2 linked regions of the Arabidopsis thaliana genome follow. The protein of the gene in region 2 interacts with the protein of the main gene of each other region in a pairwise test. Each region holds a gene or a part of one and is shown on either strand. Other genes may lie near its edges. The genes, in order: FLS2 and ACA8.

Region 1 (3,932 bases), 4.3 Mb from region 2:
ATCATCCCATTTAAAAAATTTCTTTTTGCTATTAACATCTTAAATGTTAAATCTATCATTGAGCAATGTAACAGTTCTGTGTGAAGAAACAAGGAATCACTTACTTCTACATTGTCTCTTTACAAAGGAAATTTGGCACATGATAATGCTTCGGTTTGGGCAATCTCCTTATATCTTTGCAGACTTGTCTATTACCATAGGTAATCATATAAAAGTTATTATATATGAACAATGTTCCTATGGTAATAGAAATTCACATTTTATTAAAAAAACTGATACGAATAATTCAAAGAAATAAAATAACTTTTATATGATTGTCCATAAGATATAGTCAAAACGCAAAAGACTTTGCTCTAAGAAATATTAAAAAGAAAAACAACAAGACGAGGATTATTTCTTTTCAATAATTAAAACATTAGTATAAATACAATCACATGCTTAATGTAATAATGTGACAGTTTGGCCGAGTGGTCTAAGGCGCCAGATTTAGGCTCTGGTCCGAAAGGGCGTGGGTTCAAATCCCACAGCTGTCAATTTGTTTTTTTCTTTGACTCCTTTGTTCATCTTTATTTTAAAATCAATATAAACCCTTTTCGGACATTCTAAATATTTTGACCCAACCTAATGATATTCATTATTTGTCTAACGGGTCAACTTTCAAGTCTTCAAGTAAACATGATATGGAATTATATGGGTCAACTCCAAGTAAGAACAGTGCATGCATCTTGAAGACAAAATTGATTTTTTTTTTTGTTTTTAATTAATGGAAATTTTGAAATACTAATGGGTCAAGATGAGGTTGTCCAAATCAACTGATATCATATATGACCAGATTCCTCAATAGTCATTAGTCAATACAAAATCCATAATCTTTTTTAAAAATATAATCTTTTTATTTTAAATCGCCTATTTTTTTCCATTCATTTGTCCAATGTGAAAAGCCATAAATCATATATTAAGAAGTTGTGAATTGTGATCATAGGAGTAATATTTCTATCTGAACAAAAATTGAATTTTGTTTTGCTTTTTGTTGAAAGATAAATAAAATGTTTGGCAGATTGTTTGTACAGAACACAACTTGTTGATAAAACAAATTCCATCAAGACAGCTAATGAGCTTTTGATAGTCAGAGCTTTGAAGACGTGTTAATGAATTAAACTGATTAGACCTAAAACCAAATATTTAGAAAGAAAAAAATATGATAATTGTTATGTTATTTAATCAATAGTCAAATACTATGTTGAGTACCAATCATTTCAGTTTCAACGATTGCTACTCTTTTGACCAATAACAAAAAGGTTTTTATTTTTCATTTCTCAAACTCCATTTTTGTTTGTTTTTAGCATAAAAACAGCTAGAATGTGAGTTTCATATGTATTATATACTATAAGAAATCATATAAATTAACGACTAGAACATATTGTTTTCATTCTAGTGGTATATCTGAGTTTGACTAGAACGTTTGGAGGCAGATTAAAGTGATTTCGCCTTGTCAAAACTACTTTGTATATGTTATCAATCAATCGCTCAAAACTAAATCGGAAAAAAACTACATAAATAAGATATGGAAAATGATACTAACACAAACTAGTAAGTAAGTAGTCACTACATATTCTGGTCCCATGAATATGGCTTACATAGTACATACATTGTGAGATTAAATGAATATGATATATAATACAAGCATATAAGCATGTGCATGACTATGAAGTGGGAATACATTTAGTGCCTTTATATGCAACTTGACAGAATTACCAATTATGTGAATAGTGAAACTTATATTGCGTCTTGGCCTTTTCACATCCGTGACATGATCCCTCAAATCTATATCTTCTTGCGGCATATGCTTATATATAAACATATGACTTCGTCTATAGATTTATATCCAGATAATTAATTCTCTCATAATATCTTCTCCACAATTTCAACTCTTCTAAAGTCTAAACCATGAAGTTACTCTCAAAGACCTTTTTGATATTAACTCTCACCTTCTTCTTCTTTGGCATTGCACTAGCGAAACAGAGCTTTGAACCAGAGATCGAAGCTTTGAAATCCTTCAAGAATGGTATTTCCAACGACCCTTTAGGAGTATTATCAGATTGGACCATCATCGGTTCGTTACGACACTGTAATTGGACCGGAATCACCTGCGATAGTACCGGACATGTAGTCTCGGTTTCCTTGCTGGAGAAGCAACTTGAAGGTGTTCTGTCTCCAGCCATAGCGAATCTCACCTATCTCCAGGTTCTTGATCTCACTTCAAATAGTTTTACCGGCAAAATACCGGCTGAAATAGGAAAGTTAACCGAGCTTAACCAGCTTATTCTGTACCTAAACTATTTCTCTGGTTCGATTCCTTCTGGAATCTGGGAGCTTAAGAATATTTTCTATCTTGATCTTAGAAATAATTTGTTGTCCGGTGATGTTCCTGAGGAAATCTGCAAAACCAGTTCTTTGGTATTGATTGGGTTTGATTACAACAACTTAACCGGGAAAATACCAGAATGCTTAGGAGATTTGGTTCATCTCCAAATGTTTGTAGCAGCTGGTAACCATTTAACTGGTTCGATTCCGGTATCAATTGGTACTCTGGCTAATTTAACGGATTTAGACCTGAGTGGTAACCAGTTAACCGGAAAAATACCGAGAGATTTTGGAAATCTCTTGAACTTACAGTCTCTCGTTTTAACTGAAAACTTGTTGGAAGGAGATATACCAGCTGAGATCGGAAACTGCTCGAGCTTGGTCCAACTTGAGCTTTACGATAACCAGTTAACCGGGAAAATACCAGCTGAATTAGGGAATTTGGTTCAGCTGCAAGCACTCCGGATATACAAGAACAAACTTACTTCTTCAATTCCATCTTCATTGTTCCGGTTAACTCAGTTAACCCATTTGGGGTTATCAGAAAACCATTTGGTTGGACCGATATCAGAAGAAATCGGTTTTCTTGAGTCACTTGAAGTCCTCACACTTCATTCCAACAACTTCACAGGAGAGTTTCCACAGTCCATCACAAACTTGAGGAACTTGACAGTCCTAACGGTGGGGTTCAATAATATTTCCGGTGAGCTCCCGGCGGATCTAGGGCTTCTTACAAACCTTCGGAACCTTTCAGCGCACGACAATCTTCTTACCGGACCAATACCTTCCAGCATAAGTAACTGCACCGGTCTTAAACTCCTGGACCTGTCTCACAACCAAATGACTGGCGAGATCCCGCGGGGTTTCGGAAGGATGAATCTTACGTTCATTTCTATTGGGAGGAATCATTTCACCGGTGAAATTCCAGATGATATCTTCAACTGTTCAAACTTGGAAACTCTTAGTGTGGCAGATAACAACTTAACAGGAACTCTCAAGCCATTAATTGGGAAGCTTCAAAAACTCAGGATTTTGCAAGTTTCATATAACTCTCTCACTGGACCGATTCCTCGAGAAATCGGGAATCTGAAAGATTTGAATATCTTGTACCTTCACTCTAATGGTTTCACAGGGAGAATCCCGAGAGAGATGTCGAATCTCACTCTCCTCCAGGGGCTAAGGATGTATTCAAATGATCTTGAAGGTCCAATTCCTGAAGAAATGTTTGATATGAAGCTACTCTCAGTTCTTGATCTTTCCAACAACAAATTCTCAGGTCAAATTCCTGCCTTGTTCTCCAAGCTTGAATCGCTTACCTACTTGAGTCTTCAAGGAAACAAATTCAACGGGTCTATCCCTGCAAGCCTTAAGTCGCTTTCGCTTCTCAACACATTCGATATCTCCGACAATCTTCTCACTGGAACCATCCCTGGAGAGCTGTTAGCTTCTTTGAAAAACATGCAGCTTTACCTCAACTTCTCAAACAACTTGTTGACTGGAACCATCCCAAAGGAGCTTGGAAAGCTTGAAATGGTTCAAGAAATCGACCTTTCAAACAATCTCTTTTC
Region 2 (3,932 bases):
TATTAAGATAAATATCTTACAAAATACAAACTGATAACCATAAACTTAGCCCCAAGAACCCCTTATTCCGGTTACAAAATCCGGCATCAGTTAAACAGGAAAAACAAACTTAAAGCCATGTTTGTGGAATCTCTAAACTTCTTACAATCTTAACTTGTAATTGCTTTCCAAAAACTTGAAAAATATAAAACATTAAGAAACAATCAATTTTAGAATTGATTTTCAAGTCTTCTTGACCTCACTTGATAATAAAAAGACTTCGGCAATTAAGACTTATGCTTCCCAAAATTGCATGACGGAGCCTCAATTGAGGTGAATTGAAACAGTCTAAAAGAGCAAGGACCGGTTTAATTTTAAAAGAAACCTAGCTGTCTTAATTTAATTTATTTTTGTAGCATTTTCTCGCCTGTCTAATCCACTTTTTTATTCGACATATTTGTTATATATACCGTACATCTGGACTATACGTATATCTATCACACACCCATATTATTATAGTTTGTAAATTTAATAATAATATCTGACGATTATTCTAATAATTGAGATATTCCGTCACAAATCTTAATTTATTTTGTTACACTTTACAGGTGTTCATACTTAGTGGTGTCGAAAAGCTTTACAGGGACTCATCTACGCGTAATTTAAAAAAGGAGACCCCATTATGATCTTTTCTATATAATTACAACAACCTCTTTAAGTAAAGTAAATTTTATTTTTAGTTGAATTATATTCTTTGTGAATCGTTTATTCGCTTTGCATACGTGGAAATGAACATGATATTGAGTAGGAATCGCTTCTTATTAACGTCTCCCAAATACAAACAATTTTTTCATCATTCAACACGACGTTTTTTGAACGTTCCGTTTCACTTTCCATGTTTCCGCGTTTTTTTGAAACGCAATTTACCTTTTATCGATTCGGCAATTTTTAGTGGATAGAGTTATAAAACAATTAATCAGAATGGTGACTATAAACGAATTATTCGTAATGTTTGTTGTATACTATTGAAGTAGTCGGTGCATAAAGACAAAACGTGCGTTGGTGTTAGTTAATTACTTCTACCAAGGCTCTATTAACAGTATACGATAATGAAAAGTTGAAAACATACTAACTAACATGTATTCACAAGTAAACAATGCCATACTCTAGTAGTCCAAAGTTCAAAATACTCTTTACAGTGTGTAAAAATTCAATATGTGGGCTCGAACTCTGAAATAGTCGAAGATAATTTTGTGGGTTAAGACACCAGAATATGCAATTTTTTTACTTATGTTTTTTTTGTCTATTTGTTAGTAAATGCAAATTTCCAAAATAATTGTAAAAGAAGAGACCATACAAGTAACATGCGAAATAACGTAATAATACATAATACATAATACTTAATGTGACTCCACCACTGTACACGTAAGCCAAACTTTTATTCAATGTTATGATATATTTCAATTTTCATTTTTTTAATATAATTTTTACTTAATTATTAGATGATATGACACATATATTTATAAAATTTCAGTTCCTTAAATGTTATTAAATAATTTAAATAGTACCATGATTTAAATTGGTAAAAAATATGAAGGAAAGCTTTTGCTAACCTTCTTTACTTCTGTTTTTTTTTCTTTTTCTTTTGGTTAGATAGATTCCATTTAACTTAAAATAATAATCCACAGTTTTTTTTTTTTTTTTTTAACACAATAATCCACAGATTTTTTTAATGAGAATAAAACTAAAAAGGAAATTTGATGCCACCAGCATTTAATTAGCGCGTGCCACGTAGTTTAGTTTCCAAACAATTAAAAATTTACCCATAACCGGCCCAAGAACTTTTATTTACTTACCTATTAACCCTAGATCTATATATTTGCTCACTACTGTTTTATCCCAAACTTTAGAGAGATAAAGCATTCTATTAGTTTCCCGGCGAGGACTAGTCACATTTTCCGGCGAACTTACCGGAATTTTCTCTCCAGGTAGAACTTGTTTCTCGTCTCGATTTTCTCTTCAACCGACTACGAAACGAGTTTCGGATTTCGAGAAAAGCTTACGAATAAAAATTTTAATTACTGTTTTGTTTAAATTAAAATTTCGCAGTGTTGGTCGCTTTGTCTCCTGTTGTTCTTATTCTTCGTCTTCTTTAGTCTTACCTAATTTGAATTTTTGTTGACTACTACTGGAGTAAACCGTTTCACAGCGTTTTTCTCGTGGTAGGAGTGACTTCGCGTTCATCGATTTTTTTTTTTTTTTTTCCGATTTTACATGATATTGTTGTGATTTAAGGCTAATGTCAAGGATTTTTGAAGAAATCTGAGAAAATATCTGTGGCTGTTTTGTCGCACTCTGGATTTTTCCCAGAGAGAAGAAGATACTTTGTTTCGAAGAAGATATTTATCTTTTTTTTTTTTCTTACTTTTTTTTTATCCCGGAGAAATTGCTTTTTTCTTGCTTGATATTTCACGTGGTTGTCGAAAGCAGAAGCAACCTTTAAACTGCAAACTTACTTATCTTTTGATTTTTTCTCAGTGGTTTTGAGATTTAGGGATTTGAGTGGTTTTCTTCTTGTCTCTTGCGACTGCAACGATGACGAGTCTCTTGAAGTCATCGCCTGGACGACGCCGTGGAGGCGATGTGGAGTCTGGGAAGAGTGAACACGCAGACTCTGATAGCGACACTTTCTACATCCCATCGAAGAATGCTTCTATTGAGCGGCTTCAACAGTGGAGAGTAAGACCTAGATCCTTCTTAAGTCTGATGTTGTTTCATATTGTGAGATAAGAATGCTTGTTTATCTGTGTTTGAGCTAACAGTGAATTGTGTTTATTACAGAAAGCTGCACTGGTTCTCAATGCGTCCCGGAGATTCCGGTACACCTTGGACTTGAAGAAGGAGCAAGAAACGAGGGAAATGAGACAGAAGATCAGAAGTCATGCTCATGCTCTTTTGGTAACTTTATTTGGAAGCTGGTTAATCATGTCTTTATCATGAGATTGTGTAAATTACTGATTAGCGTCTTCTATTTCTTTATTAGGCGGCGAATCGTTTTATGGATATGGGACGTGAGTCAGGTAATTTTGGCTAACTGTGTACTTTGGTGTTGTGCATTATCTGGTTCTGAATGTGGAGAAGAAAGTCTTTTTGTATAAACTTGTTGATGTGGTCTTTTTTTTTTCTCACTTCAGGAGTTGAAAAAACAACTGGGCCTGCAACTCCGGCTGGTGATTTTGGAATTACTCCTGAACAGCTTGTGATAATGTCAAAGGATCACAACAGTGGTGCCCTGGAGCAATATGGAGGGGTAAGTTTTCAGTCATGAAACATGCTTATGTCTGTTTTCTTATAGTCGTTCTCTAATTATCTTATTGGTATGCGTGTATTTCTTGCATCAGACTCAAGGATTGGCCAATTTGCTCAAGACAAATCCAGAGAAAGGTATCAGTGGCGATGATGATGACTTGCTAAAGCGCAAGACCATTTATGGATCAAACACATATCCTCGCAAGAAAGGGAAAGGGTTTCTGGTATGAAATGCATATTTATTATTAGCTCTATGCTACAAGTTAGGTTTTCCCTGCTCACTTTCTTATCAAGCGTATTGGTTTTTTGTTAATCATTACAGAGGTTTCTTTGGGATGCTTGCCATGATCTCACCTTGATCATTTTAATGGTTGCTGCTGTAGCGTCTTTAGCACTTGGGATAAAAACAGAGGTTTGTGATGAAATCAATTAACTAAATTTGGCTCTTCCCTCTTTCCCCAGAGTAATGTCACCTCCAAATTAACCTTGGTCTTACACAATCTTTACTAACTTGGATAACAATCATCGACAGGGTATCAAAGAAGGATGGTATGATGGAGGAAGCATTGCATTTGCTGTGATTCTTGTGATTGTTGTGACGGGTAATTTAACTTGTTTCACTTTTTTCTTTTTCTTTTTAGGTG

Evidence for each region.
Region 1: the proteins of ACA8 (region 2) and FLS2 interact in a protein complementation assay, tested with the Arabidopsis thaliana proteins (one study listed by BioGRID).

The regions. Positions count from the first base shown.
Region 1 is NC_003076.8:18,789,855-18,793,786, forward strand, and holds the start of FLS2 (Leucine-rich receptor-like protein kinase family protein), read left to right. Parts: upstream 1-1,720; 5' UTR 1,721-1,947; coding exon 1,948-3,932.
Region 2 is NC_003076.8:23,115,500-23,119,431, reverse strand, and holds the start of ACA8 (autoinhibited Ca2+ -ATPase), read left to right. Parts: upstream 1-1,745; 5' UTR 1,746-1,967; intron 1,968-2,028; exon of another isoform or gene 2,029-2,201; intron 2,202-2,517; 5' UTR 2,518-2,574; coding exon 2,575-2,718; intron 2,719-2,820; coding exon 2,821-2,937; intron 2,938-3,022; coding exon 3,023-3,059; intron 3,060-3,173; coding exon 3,174-3,289; intron 3,290-3,380; coding exon 3,381-3,512; intron 3,513-3,610; coding exon 3,611-3,700; intron 3,701-3,820; coding exon 3,821-3,890; intron 3,891-3,932. UniProt on the Arabidopsis thaliana protein: This magnesium-dependent enzyme catalyzes the hydrolysis of ATP coupled with the translocation of calcium from the cytosol out of the cell.